3 linked regions of the Drosophila melanogaster genome follow. The protein of the gene in region 1 interacts with the protein of each later gene in a pairwise test. Each region holds a gene or a part of one and is shown on either strand. Other genes may lie near its edges.

Evidence for each region. The genes of interacting proteins can lie anywhere in the genome.
Region 2: the proteins of Mf (region 1) and CG30324 interact in a two-hybrid assay, tested with the Drosophila melanogaster proteins (one large-scale study listed by BioGRID).
Region 3: the proteins of Mf (region 1) and CG5674 interact in a two-hybrid assay, tested with the Drosophila melanogaster proteins (one large-scale study listed by BioGRID).

What each region holds. Positions count from the first base shown.
Region 1 is NT_033777.3:15,176,786-15,182,743, forward strand, and holds the start of Mf (myofilin), read right to left. Parts: upstream 3,486-5,958; 5' UTR 3,423-3,485; intron 2,566-3,422; exon of another isoform or gene 2,537-2,565; intron 2,396-2,536; 5' UTR 2,345-2,395; coding exon 2,254-2,344; intron 1,705-2,253; coding exon 1,495-1,704; coding exon of another isoform or gene 1,436-1,494; exon of another isoform or gene 1-1,435.
Region 2 is NT_033778.4:16,287,086-16,290,533, forward strand, and holds CG30324 (uncharacterized protein), read right to left. Parts: upstream 1,149-3,448; 5' UTR 1,056-1,148; coding exon 561-1,055; 3' UTR 501-560; downstream 1-500. Other genes in the region: CG9068 (uncharacterized protein), read left to right, coding at 1-365; CG30099 (uncharacterized protein), read right to left, coding at 1,186-1,839; JhI-26 (juvenile hormone-inducible protein 26), read left to right, coding at 2,287-2,523, 2,867-3,448.
Region 3 is NT_033779.5:17,961,217-17,966,378, reverse strand, and holds the start of CG5674 (uncharacterized protein), read right to left. Parts: upstream 3,001-5,162; 5' UTR 2,834-3,000; coding exon 2,774-2,833; intron 2,236-2,773; coding exon of another isoform or gene 1,930-2,235; intron 1,871-1,929; coding exon of another isoform or gene 492-1,870; intron 431-491; coding exon of another isoform or gene 1-430. Other genes in the region: btv (beethoven), read left to right, coding at 1-430, 492-1,870, 1,930-2,235, 3,363-3,644.

The sequences.
Region 1 (5,958 bases):
TTGATCGGATGGTCTGGATGGATGGATGCAACACCACAGAAAAGCAACAGCATGTTGTTTACAGATTTTATTTCACACACAAAACACATACATATATTTATATACAGATGTATATACTGGCTACTCAATAATTTGCTTTCTAATTTCAATATTTTAACTAAAAACTACACACAAAATCCTGTTCACTAAATTTAAGTTGTCTTTTGCCTAGAGAGAACAACAAATATATATATAAATATATATCGAGAGAGTGCGCATAAAATATCAAGAAAATTTATATATATACTACATATGTATATCGCTCGGATACATATGTGTATTTATCTTGACGACACACATTTATGTATATTCTGAAACATTTATGAAAGAGAGAGAAAAAGAAAAAAACAATTGGTTAGTCCAAAAAAAAGCGAAAAGAAAACTAAATAATTTAGGCAAACGGGGTACCAGGTTGAAGGTGAAATGGGCGGACTTCAGGGGGCTGGGTGTTCGGATTTGGGTGCTTGGGGCTTTTGCCAGTGTGTGAGTGTGTGGAAATTCGGAAAATCGGAAAAGAGAACTTCGGTTTCCGCGCACCGAGGGCCGCCACAGTCATTTGATCCCAGAGCACGCACCGAAAAAAAAAATTGAGTCAAAAATTCCGCTTATATACCTGACTTGATATATAGCGCCTGTGTGTGTTGCCTATATTATTGTCTTCATTTTTTTTATTTTTTTTGTTCATTTTTGAGGCCTTTTGCCAAAATCAACACGACCGAGGCGAAACGAAACGATACGAAACGAAAATTTTCATTGACGTAATTGTATTTGGCCGTTTGGCGCTGTCCATTTTTATTTTTAAATTTATGAAATCATAGCGCTCGCACCAGTTTTCATCTCAAATGAAACGCATAAAAATATGGCGGTTTTGAGATATTCAAGGTGTTGTCAAAAGCTTCAATAGCAGGCAGTGGCGAGATTGCAGTTGTAAGATGATTGTAATGACTCGACTGATTGACTGACTGATTGACTGACTGACTGACTGATTGATGGATGGCGCATCGAAGCGAAGCAGAAAGGCTGAAAGAACTTGTGGCGTTCGGATGGACCGAAGCTTATGTAACCTTGCAAATAACAATCAGGTGATTGCCTTTTTTAATTTTAAATTTTAATTAAAATTTTAAACGTTTTTTTCTAAAAAACTAGATTGAAAGCATTGACATAAACTTTTGAACCTGAATTTCATCTATGTTACTATTCCAGTTTCAAGAATGTTAAAAATATCTTTTAGTTTCATGGCGGATAATTTGTTATGTAAACAATCATAATCATTTATCTATATTATTTGAAATATACTTTAAATGGTAATAACAGGATATCTTAGTTCAATATCCACATTTGCAAGGCCACCGATTTCGGAAGCATTAAGATACAGATACTCGGCTGTGTGAAGCAGTTAGGCGGGAATCGGCTGTAGATAGTACAGTATGTGGTCCGTATATGGTACCAACTTACTTGTTCGGCTGTAGTGATGATCGTAGATGGCACGGGGCGAGTAGCCGTAGGTGTCGCGGCTCACTGGCAGATATCTGTAGCCAGAGGACTGGACGCGCTCATTGGCGGTGGCGGGCTCGTCATAGATGCTCCTGTAGGAGGGCGAGTCCAGGTAGGAGCTGTAGGGACGAGAGGCACGGGGCGCCTCGTGGGCACGGATATCCTCGGAGCCTATAAATAGTTGTTTGGATAACGACGCGTTAGTTCATTGCTTTTCAAATATTTCGGCTATTCTATTCTCACTATTTGGCTCAATGCCAGCGCTGCAGAAATGTATGATTTCTATTCGGTTTCTATCATAGATGCGCCCCCTGTATGTGTATCCTATATTTTAGCCTATTCTTTGTTTAAGGCCTGAGCATATATATTTTACAAATTTCTCTCTATATATTCGAATATACTATGGCGAAAAGCTTTCCCAGCAGAGCGTGTCTAAGTATATAGCTTGGCTGATATGACACCTGCCAAAATAAATAGACTATACACATATAGGCTAAGCTATTTGTGTTGCTCACTGGCGACCAGAGTTTAATAATATCACTTTTGAGTGTCCCTTAATCATATCGAAATGGGAACACTTCGAGTTAATCTTCAATTGTTTTTTGAATTATTTTGGAACTATGCAAACTCCCTACTATTGTGACTAAGCAATCAATAGTAGTTTTGAATAACTATCCTATCTTTTAATGTAATTTTTGAGCTTATTTAGTGAATGCTTACCCTTCAGGGACCTGATGTAGGACTGCCAGAATTTCGCCTTCTTGCTGGGGCTCTCATTGCGCCCAATCATTTCCAAGTGGTTTTTGAACATTTTGATCGATTTGTTTTGTTCTGTTCACGAAAAAATCGTTGAACTCGTTCGCTGTAATAAAGTTGGGAAGAGAGATGGCTTAGCAATTTTCCAATGTGTTTCAAATTTCCTTTCCGCCTATTTTATTTTATTTTTTTTTTTTGTCCGTTTTCAATTTAATCTATTTCCCGGGAAATGCCAGGCAGCACGCACGAATTCGAATCGCTTGTCTCTCGATTGATGGGATGTTTTCTCAGTTGAATTTTTTGCTTTCGCGTTGAAAGTCTCTCGGTTCGAAAATAAACAGACTGTGTGCCACTTTAGAGCAGTGCAAAGTTTATAAAACATATACATAAAATCTAATATAATACCGCGATCGGGCAACAGCAGCTAACGCAAGATCAATCTCACTAAAAATAAATATATTTCGGTTCGGTTTTTGTGATTTTTCATGTATCGTGGTATTCTCCTGGTTGCTCGAATATAAAAATATTTTTTTGTTGCATAGCAAATTTCACACTTCTGAGTATGAGAACAAATATTCTAGGTGTCGTCAGTGTGTGCGTGTAAATGGGTGAGTGGATGTAAGTGTATCTGTGTGTAAGCTGCAGCTAAATTGGGTTTTATTTTTAAATGTCCTTGAGTTGAAATCGTTCTGTTATTCTGGCTTTTAGCGGAATTTACTTAAGTATCGAAGAAGTGTGCAAAGTCTAAGAACAATTTAGTTGAAGTATGTTTAAAATAGGCCTTTATTATCCATTAAACTAAATTAATTTTGAATTTAATTCAATGTGGGATTTTTGTTTTTTATATTTCACTGCACAAACTCTTGATGAGCTCCAACACTTCGGTATCAAATGTCATTGAGTACGATCTCTCTTATATAATTATAGTCAATGTCTTTTCGCTATGGAACATATCGGATCATTCATAATGCGATCATAATTCCATAATTATTTCACCAGTTAATTGTTCGTCTCCACATTCAGATGTGATGGTGCACTTTATTTAATTTGATTTTATTGTTTTTCATTTCGTTTATAATTATTTAATTTACTATTCAGTTGTATGTTGTTTAATATGTTTCGGGTTCGCTTACAATTTAAATTTACTCCTAAAAAATAGCGATCTATCCTCAACGAAGAATTTTTTCAAACTGCAAACCCCAAGAAAATTCGCCTCACCAATTTTCCTCGTTTCAGAATTTTGCCATTCCGTTTCGGCACCAAAAGCACGGCGCATTCCTTTACGGCGTAGGTTGCTCTATCCGTGAGCGATTTTCATCGCATCTGTGTGGCAAAGCTCCGGAGATTGGTTATGGGAAAGCTTTCCCACCACATTCTGATAGATCGTGTGGTGGCACCCACTCATTGTTTGCAACGATTCAATACCGAAATCGCGATGACGCTGGCGATGATCATAAAAAGAAAGCCAGCCAAGTCATACCACACATACACAATACATATGAGCCCATATTTCTTTCAGAAAATCCCACACCCTATTTTCTGTTTTTGTTTTTCCTATGGTTTTTCATAATTTTAACATATTCTTTGAATGTTTCAAGGGAAAGGCGTCACTTGTGGTATTGAATTGATCAGTGAACTATAAGCTCTAACTAATACATTACAATATTTGGTTTTTTGTAACTAACTAATTCAAAATGTGGTTAGAGGCCGATGGAATTTTTGCCATAAAAGCATTTAAATTCCGTTTATTTGTTTATGTTTTCTTTTGGCTTTGGCATTAGCTATAATTTAGTTTCCTGATAATGGAAAAATCATTTCCAGCAACATGCCCACACAGGTAAATAAACAAAACTGGTCCAGATACATTTAACCAAATAATAGATACTTTAAGCACACAATATATTATTTATAATGAAATCTGTATGAATAGTTTGATATTTTCTAGCTTGTTATGTAAAATTTGCCGTTAATTGATTATTTAAAACATTAGTAACTCATTTTTTTCGATTATACCCTCCTGTAGGGTATATCTTTTTTGCTCACGTGCGACCCAATGATTGATAATCTAAACACAAATTTTCCAGGGAAATTCCTACGAAAACGAATAAACAAAGATGGGTAAAGCTTCCCCCATCATATACAATTACATCGAAACGAGTTGAAGGGCAGATCTGGGAGTACATATGTTTCTAATAATAGTAAATACATTCATGGAGATCATGTTGACCTTTTCAATCGTGCAGATCGCTTACAGAATTTCCTGCATGTGTTTTCTTTTTCCGCCGATAAACTCAAGGCCAAATGCACTTGCATCCAAATGTTCTTTTGACTTTGTTTGTTTAGCTTATATAAATCTTGTTTGTGAATTTTACCCTTAAACAGGCGGGCGGCGTCATTTAAACTTGAACTTGACTTTGAATGAACCGAATGCGGTTTGATGAACCAAATCGAAAATCAAATGAAAATGCACAAAAACTCACGGGAAATTGGGAAATACCTGGCAAAGGTTTTTCTTTCGGCCAATCAGTGATTTCGGTGATGTGATTCAACTTTTACTTTCTGGCACACTTTTTTGGCTTCACAGAACAATGAATTGAGCAACTTTTTATTTTACTTTCGTTTTTTTTTCAGGTTTTTCATTTTAATTTATTTTAGTTTATTGGCGCTTGATTGTGTTTGTTCCAACATCTTTGATGTTTTGCTCAAGGAGACACAAAAATTGGCTAGGAATTGCATACCCTTAAAAGGAATCTCAAATAAAATTTAGTTATTTTAAAAATATTTTAATTGGCCTAGCGGCTTACAAAATAATTATCTTAGAGAAATTTATGTCCCTTGGGAAATGGGGTCAAAATGTAAGCTCATTATTTAGAGGGCACATATGCAAGCAACGTCAAACAATTTGCTTTCGCAAATTCGCCATATTTTATATCGCAGTTTATACCCAAATTAATTGCAAACTGCATTTAATTTCAGATGAGGAGAGCAGACATTTAGCTGTCAGAAAGTCAAATGCACTGTGAATGCATATAAATTATATACATATTATTACTTTCGCACTTGGTGTGTAATAAATTGCTTTCTCAATGTGAAGGACGATTATAGTTTTCGCAAGTGAAATGAAATGAAACGAAAAACAAATTATAGCGATACTACAATGTCAACGATGCGTATGCGCAATTTGCTGTGGCTCAGCAGCTCAGAAAAGCTACAAAATATAATTAATATAAATACCACTTTGAGTCATAGCAAATAAGCGAAAATAAATACATTTGAGCAATTTCTTTCCTTATACCGAATGCATAGTATTTTGTATGCTCTATTTTTTAAATAAGATTTCCCGTATAAAAAAAATGAAATCCTTTTCTCGTCCATTTTAGAGTTCATTTTTTCAACTTGCATCACCTGGGGACTCATAAATAGAGCTTAATGGCTTCTAATGCCTCAGTTGAAAAGCTTTTTCCCACTCTTCGCCTGTCTATCATACAATTTGAATAAAAATACACACATTATGTGGCACTAATACATAGTTTGGCCGAGTCTATATATAACGCTGTTTAACCTTAACATATAGCAGACACCTTCAAATGAATTCTGCTTGAAATATAAAAATAAATATGTGTACTCGATGTATTCGCGTGGATATATTCCCTCGCCTGATTTTGCAGC
Region 2 (3,448 bases), on another chromosome or scaffold:
TGCGACGCAACGAGCGTAATGTGATGAAGGTTCCTCGTACCATCCGTGAAACGGTGGCTGCCAAACAGCTCTTTGAAAAACTCCTGAAGGATGTGCCAGTGAAGCAGTCCGCATTTACTCCGATGCTGGAACTCTTCGTTCTGCTGCACAAATACCAGGTGAAGCTTAGCGAGGAAACATTTGAGCAGGTTATGGGATTGGAAACGGCTTGGCTGCATTACCTTCAGGTGCTGGAGGAAGCGGATGAGATGCTGGACAATGAGGACAGTGAGGCCAAGTTGCTATTGGCCAAGCACGGCGAAAAGTTCAAGTTGATATTAAAGGATTTCCTGGAGGATTTCTATTCCAAATTACCCAAGAAATAGGAGTATCATAACTATTATCATAAGTGATAATCAATTTATTTACATTAAATTTAATTTGCACACCTACTAGCTGAGTAATGGGTATGTGATAGTCGGGGAAATTAACTATAGTGATTTATTGAAAAACATGCAAATACTTCTCACATTCCGAACTTTTATTAAACTCTTTTTTCCCCAATTGAGTCCTGCCCAGGATTACAAGTCATAGCAGAGCGATTTATTGGTACAGGGACAACCATCGATGCCGTAACGCCCAATCGGAATGTCCGTCTGGGTCTCCTTGTGCTGCGGTCCTGGCAACTCGTAGAATTTCTTACCAAAGTATCGATCCGGGAGATAGTACGATGGATACTCCGCCCTCAGCCTCTCGTGATCCTCCCGCAGAAATTTTGCCAGTTCGGGAGTAGCCCGTCGAGCTTCCAGGCGATACTGCTTCGGCTTGGCCATTCGGATTGGAACTTCCAGGTGGAGCTTCGAGTGCGGTATGTAGGACAGCAGCTCCTGGTCGAGTTTCACTGCCTGCTCTGCACGAATTTGTGCGCAAGTGGCACACTTGCATTTTCCACCATGGTAGCAGTACCGCTTTCGTCCATCCTCGTCCACCATCAGCAGTGGGGTGCAGATGGGCGACGGAACCGGTTGTGCCTCCGTCTGCGTGGCAACCGACTCCTGGGCGGGATCGGAAAACATTGTGGAAAGAGTGGGGTTCAAATCGGAAAGGTACGAACGATTTGGATTGCAGAATGAAACTAAATATCGGAGAAAAACAGATGTATTATCAGCAAACTCCTTGGCAACTAGATATCAAAAATTACAAATTTTAAATTAAACATTTTATATTGTGCAGCTTGATTAAAGTTTCCAAGTGGCTGGAGACACCTCTGCTGCATCCACAACTAAGTGCAGAGTGAGGATATGCAGCGGAGGAGTTCCACAGCCAGGTGAGATCCCCATGCCGATCACAATCTTTTATCCTCAATCGTTTATCCCCCGTGCAGTAAATGTTTTTGCTGAGATCCTTCTTATCCCGCTTCACAAAACCACAATCCGGACACACATGGGACATCGCTGGATTTCTTTGTGCAGCCTTCATCTGAAGATAGTAATCCTTGAGCTTTCGCTGACGCACTTCCTCGAAGAACTCGCGCATTTGTGGCGAATCCCGAACAGTGGGCTCCTCGATGGGCTTCCTACTCGCTTGCATTGGACAGACGACATCGTCGTGTTGAGCATTCTTCGACATTTTCAACTGATCGTGTCGGCCGCTCGTTATTTTGCCTTTTCGCGAAGAAGAGGACATATATGACATGTTATCCAAATCCGTGATCCTGATCGAAGCACTTGTCCTCTTTGGCACTTTGGATGGCATGCTGATATCTCGACTTTGCTGCGATCCATTCGTGAACTTTCGAACGTAGGTGTTGGCCCTGGTCATTGACCCGGTCGTTTTGAGTAAATACCAGTTGAGGCCCATTGGTAGTTGGTCGATAGTCGAACTGCAACGGTAGGATAGCTTTTTCTAAAACTGGAAATTTTGACTAAAAATATATCGATACCTGTGATTATGGAAAATAGAACTTAATCCAAAGGAATCATTAAACTTTGCACACAATAAACAAAAAAAAAAAACTAATTAAAACTAATAAATAGCGTATCCCCCTATCTTTGCGTCATGATATCTTATCATATCATTTTAACATGCCAAATTGCATCATGCTAATCATTAGGTAGGTACTGCTTCTCTATAAACCATAAAGTGCTTTTAATGATTAGAAAGCTTTTCATTTCCAATTCGCTCTTATCGTGTAATCTCTAACAACGAATGAGCTTTTGGAGAGTAGTACAAAATGAGCTATATGAAATGGTTTATGCTCATTCGCTATCCACAAGCGAAGCGGTTGGGATCGTCAGTACCGACGAAATGGAGAAGATCGAGGCTGAGAGGCAATGGCTGAGATACACGGTTCTTCCGTCAATTCTGAGGAACGGGCGCCTGGTGGACAACTACAGCGAGTCCAAGGTGACCACATTCCATGTGGGGGACATCGACATTGATGTAATTGGCCACTCGGAGGCCTTTATGCTAACTTTTTGCTACCGGACAACCATTAATTTTGAATACGACGGGCAAAAGTTTCAGCGAAAAATGGTGGTTAAGGTAGGTTTATTCCATTCACATAGTATAAATAAATCTTAAACAATCTATCTGGATATCTAAAAACACAACGAAAAGATTTACTATACTCGCGGAATTTAAATTATATTATATAAGTGCCTTAACTGCGTACTACTTACCAGTTTTGTTTTCCAGCAAACTCAGATAGCTTAGTGAGAGTGTGGGTTTTATGGCAAACATTGTGAAATAGAGGGAGGCATCTCAACAAAAGAACAAAGCGAATTGATTTTGAATTCAAAATAAATCACATCTAATGATGAAGTTTACTTTGGCATGCAATGACCCCAGAATACCAATAATTAATTGTTTTTTTTTTTTTTTGTAGAAAACACCTGCTATGCCACCAGAAATGTATGAATCCATACAGTTTGGGCCCCTTTTTACCAACGAGATAAATTTCTATACGGAAATTCTGCCAGAGTTTCAGAAGTTCACCGATGGCAAGTTTGCCGCACCCAAGTACTATTACGGCGAGTTGAACCAGCATTCGGCTGTGGCCATTCTGGAGAATTTCGCGGAGCAGGGATGGCGGGTCACCAAGGATCGTGTGGGTCTGAGTCTGCAGCACGCCATGATTGCCGTGAGTTACCTGGGAAGGTTCCATGGCTTTGCGTACGCCATGAAGCACAAGAACCCGGAAAAGTTTGCCCAGCTGACTGACAATCTGAAGGAATCTCGCTATGCCAACGATAACATTCATCCGGAATGGAAGCTCACCATGAAAACGAGCATCGATCGAGCGGCCAAGGCGGTGGCCACCTATCAGCCACAGATCGACGAGGAGTTTGTTAAGAAGTTCTGTTTCATGATCTCGGACTATTCGCAATACGGTAGGCAACGGGTGGCGCCCAGGGAGCCACTGGCCACCCTGTGCCACGGCGATTATGTGAGGAATAATGTGGCGTAC
Region 3 (5,162 bases), on another chromosome or scaffold:
GCAGGCCTCATCCAGGGCTATGAATTATCCCCTCTTGTTTACATTGAACTATTTTTGGGGGCTCTTTCCAAAAGTCAACGAGATGAGTCCAAGGTCTATGATTGTCTTGTACGAAGTGTTTATATGAATTTAGCTAGAGCTACTTCTAGAGATAGCCAGCTATCCTTATCCTTGTGGGTTTGTCATCAGGCATATCCCGATAGATTAAACCCCAAGGAGTGGGAGCTGTTTGTGAACAATTTCATGGGTAGTTCTGATGGCAGTATGGTGCTAAGTCAGCTTGGAAAACTGCCCGACTGCATGCCCAAGGAAGCGCAATTAAAGCTGGCTATGTTACTCCAATTGTTCCCAGATTTGCGAAGCAAGCTCCAGTTGGAGAAGGACTATATCTGGCGCGGATTCATTGAGGCTCAAGCGGATGATGTGCTACGTAAGTTGTAGAAATAATTTAGTTAATTTCATCTTATTCAGATTTATTTTCGAACTTACAGCTGCGTTGGGGTCCAGCTTCCAGCGTGTGCTTATTGCTCAGATTTTCCGACCCGACTTGATGCTTCACCAACTGCGAAAAGTGAGTAGCGATCTGCTGGGAATTTCCCCAGATGCCTCCACCCAACCTTCTGTGGAGCAGTTGCTGCAGCAGAGCAGCTGTGATCGCCCGATTTTGATGGTTAGTCATGCGGAAAATGATCCAACAACTGAATTGAGAAAGTGGGCCAATCAAAAGTATAGAGAAATGGCTATTGGAAAAGGTGTTGAGAAAAGAGTTCTCTCCGAAATGCGTCAGGCTGCCATAGATGGCCACTGGTTATGCGTTAAGAATGTCCATTTGGTGCCGGAATTTCTAACTCAAATGGAAAGGGAATTAAGTGAAATTCAAAAATCGAAAGACTTTCGATTGTGGCTATTGTGCGAATCAACCGAGGGATTTTCCGAAGCTGCCATTTATAAATGCCTTAAAGTACGTTATGAGCAGCCTAAGGGACTAAAGCAGATTGTGATGCGTTTGCTCCAGAACTTCGCTGCTGAACAGGATCAAAAGCTTAAAAACCAACCAAAGAGCCTCAAGATGAGACTGGTTTATTTTGTCCTAACAGCTGTGCTTCAACAAAGGCGACAGTTTATACCACAAGGTTGGTCAAAATACTATGAATTCGGTGAGGCAGATCTAAAAGCGGCTCTGGGTATCCTAAGAATGATGGATCAGCAACTTAATTCAGGAAAATGCGATTGGTTGCTGATGCAACGTCTCAGTGAAGCCCTCGCTTATGGCGGAAGAGTAAATAATCAGAGGGATCTGGAGATACTCACAACCTATCTGAACCAGTTTTGTTCAGCGGACGTCTTAAGCAATCGTTGGTCACCTCTTGGATTATCTCTATCCATACCAACTAGCGGTCAACTGCAGGACTACTACGCTGCATTGGAGAAACTTCCTGACACAGATGAGCCCAGTATGTATGGTTTGGCCAATCAGGCACAACAGCAACGCGAAATTGAACAGGCCAAAAGAGTGATAAAGGAACTCAGGGGATTGCATTACGGAAGAGGCTTGGCTAAGGATTCTGGAGGAGCAGGAGAGTCTAAGGGAAACGATCAGCTCACTGGTCGTCAGAAGCTGGAACAGCAAATTAAACCCCTACTGAATCTATGGAGAAAGTTGGCGGCTTCGTGTACCATAATCCAGACTATGAAGGAGGCAAAAACTGATGTGGGTGAATCTCCCTGGGCACTTTTTGTGCTGGCTGAACTGAAACTAGGGGCGGATCTCTACGGCATAGTTCACCAGACTTTGTCGCAGATGCATGCCTGGCTTAAGGAGTCGCAGGAGGTGGATGGCAGCACTCTGAGAACTCTGGCAGAACAGCAGGTAAGAAACTGGGGTACAGTAACGTAACTTGAAAATGCATAATAAACTGAAATTCATAGATTCCTGCCAGTTGGCTTAAACTATGGCCTGGACCTGGCAGCAACAGTGCCGTGGACTTTTTAAGAGCCCTAATCGTTCGAGCCCAGGCTGCCGAACTTCGATTCCGGGAGCAAATGCATCTGGATTTTGTAGAGGATATCAATTTCGTCCAGGTGTTTAACTGTGAGAACCTGTTGTCCTGTTTAAAGCTGCTGCAGTCTCGAAAACTGGCAGTTTCCACCGAACGCCTGGAGTTGCAAACTTGCGGCTCCTCAAACTTGGAAAGTGATTCTTCGGACATAATACTCAAGCTGGCGCCGCTAAAGGTGAGTAAGAATTAGTATCTTTAACCGATAATGTTTTGACATCAAGTTGTGAAATCAAATTCAGCAAGCCACTTACTCATGATTCAAGGGGTTATGTCTTCTATGTCTTCTTCTTTAGCGACTAAGAATATATTTCGAAGCCATAAAAGGAAATTTAACTAATCGCAGGATAATCAGCCAAGAAATTGCCATAACTATAATATTCGCGGTAGATGGCGCATTGGTTAAGTTGGGGATAACCATTAAATATCATAAGCCCTCGAGAAGCGTTACAGTAAATACAATAAACATTGAGAAATAATTTTGGGATACATTTTGCCAGGTTGCTATATCAGATACAATTGGATGCACACGTAGTAGTAGTAACAGTAACAATACTCTGTTACGGATTACCTGGATAGTAGATATGCATACATCCATAGTCCAAATTGATTCCCCCAATCCAAAATCCCAAAAGATACTTATTTATCTTTTGGGACGAAGACTGATGACATCTTCTCTCCCTCTTGCCCGTTTGCTTCTTGTCTTTGTTCCTCACCTTCCCCATTTTGGCCATAAAATGTGTCTCCATCGCCGTCTCCATTCTGGCCGTTTCCATAGCTTCCGTATCCGTAATCCTGCGCCTCCTGTTTTCGGTGCGCCGCCGCCGTTCAATGCATCGAAATTAAGCTTGAAATGTGCACTGGATGCCCGTTCTTTTCAGTTTTCTCACGCCGCTTTTTTTGTTTTCATTTGATTGACATTCCGGTACAAGAGGGGGAATTAGAGATGGCACCTTGTCCGATGCCTATCGATAAGCAGTTCTGAGCACAAACTTACATTTTACTTTCCCTTCTCGTTTGTATATCTACGTATTCGATGCCAATCGATAATCGGTTTGGAAGCTGACTATGGGGAGTGCATCCGCTATGCCCTGATGGGTGTACCTGCTAGAACTAACACTGTAAAAAAACAAATAACTATTTTTTTGTATATACATTTTAGGACTTGGAGAATAAACTTTGCAAATCATCTACCCGCTTTTCGCCTTTTTTTTTGTTTTTAGCAATTGTGAATATATGTAATGTGGAATATATCTAAGTATTTCATTAGTAACTAAACTTGGCACTATTCATTTTCCATTACAGATTGATGGCGCCCAGAGTGGAATGGGAAAATCGAACCCCTTCTACATCAAGTACAAAATAAAAGACGAAGTACAAAATGTCAGTCATACGACTACTAGTTCCTCAAAATACGGCAAAAATTCGCTATATTCCACGCAAAATGCTGAATCGAAGCCCAAACTCCCATTATATTCTCGGAGCAGTCGCGACAAATTGATTTGCCACCTAAATGTTGATATTGTGACCGGAACTGCGGAACAAATTCTCTTGGCCGGAACAGCGCTAATAGTCGAAGATTATTAAACACCACTCAATATTATTTTATACCAATATATTTCAAATATATATGTAGAGAAGCGAAGAATGTGTTGGACTGACACTTGAATAGCAATTCACCTTCGCAAATATTAAATAAAAACCAAACGAAACTCTTTTAACATTAGTTTCCTACCCTTGACACGCTGTCATTTGGGTCCCAACTAATTCTAAGTAAATATTTAAACAACTAACAATTAGGCAGCCAAAGGCAAACATAAAAATGGGCCATTAAACATTTAAGGCGAGGACTTAGACTCTGAAGAGCTAATTGATTTCCATATGTCTCAGTGTCTGTGTTTATTCGGGGATGCCCCTAAAAATTAATTTGCCACCGCCGAAGGGATTTTATTGCGTCCTGTGTCCCTCATAATCTGCTCATATTAAACTAATTGCCGTAAATTTCAACAACAAACTGCCATAAATGTCGGGCATACTTTTAGTTGCCAAGACATCCCCGACATCCCCCAGGCCCAAAACCATTTTACCGTCAAAAACTTGTCTTAACTTTAATTAAGTGGCATTATGTTCAATTAGGCAAAAGTTTCCAATATGCAAATTAACACAATTTGAGTGTAAAGTGCCTCCCGGTACCGAGAAGGGGGCGTGGCAGCCGGCTTCTGTGGCATATAAATTGCCCTCCGCACAAATCACAGTGCCTCGTATCGGTGGGCGTGGCAGTTTGTTAACACATTTTGCAAATTTAGCTATGCAGACTTCTCAGATTTTGTTGTACGCCTTTCCCAACTTGTTGTGCTGTCGGCTATTGAGAATAAATAATTTATTACGCTTCAAATGGAAATTTAGTTGCGGATTAAGGAATTAGGCAGCGCGATAAGGCTGAAAAGGTAATTGAGTAAGGATATAAAGTGAATGTGTATATCAAAAGATACATAAACTCCGCTCCGAACTTCAAATCCAATTAGCTACAAGGAAGAACAGTTTAAAGACCTCCTTCTTATGCATTTAGGCTACATAAAGATCAATTTCCAAAATATTCCCAAGCCGCAACCACATTAATGAGGCCCTTAAACTATTTCACCCGCCGCAATGCTGGATTACCAACTTAACCAAATAGTTCATCGCATTTAATGTTAAAAGCTTGTGGTTTTGGTTGATTCCAATTCGCATTGAATAATCCCCACAAAGTTGCAGCTTAATTATGTGCCCGCCCCAAAATCCCCAAAAACTTGCATTGCCGATTAAATTTTGAATGTCTAATTTGCAGTTGATGGGCAGGCGAATCCGTACTTTACACTCAAATGCACAAATTGATATCCTCCTTTGGCTTCTTCAGTGTTTAGTGTTTGACAAATGTCGGGGCCAAGCGGCCACATCCTTGTAATCCTTGCCAGCCTACAAGCAACGGCGTCGCCATCTAATTGCAGCCGCCTTCAATGAGCTGGGATTAGAAATTAATTAAAGTATAAGGCTAATGTGACATCTGCATGTGTTTGCCGCCCATTTCCTGGTACATACACACGAATATGTCCCCACATCTGCCAT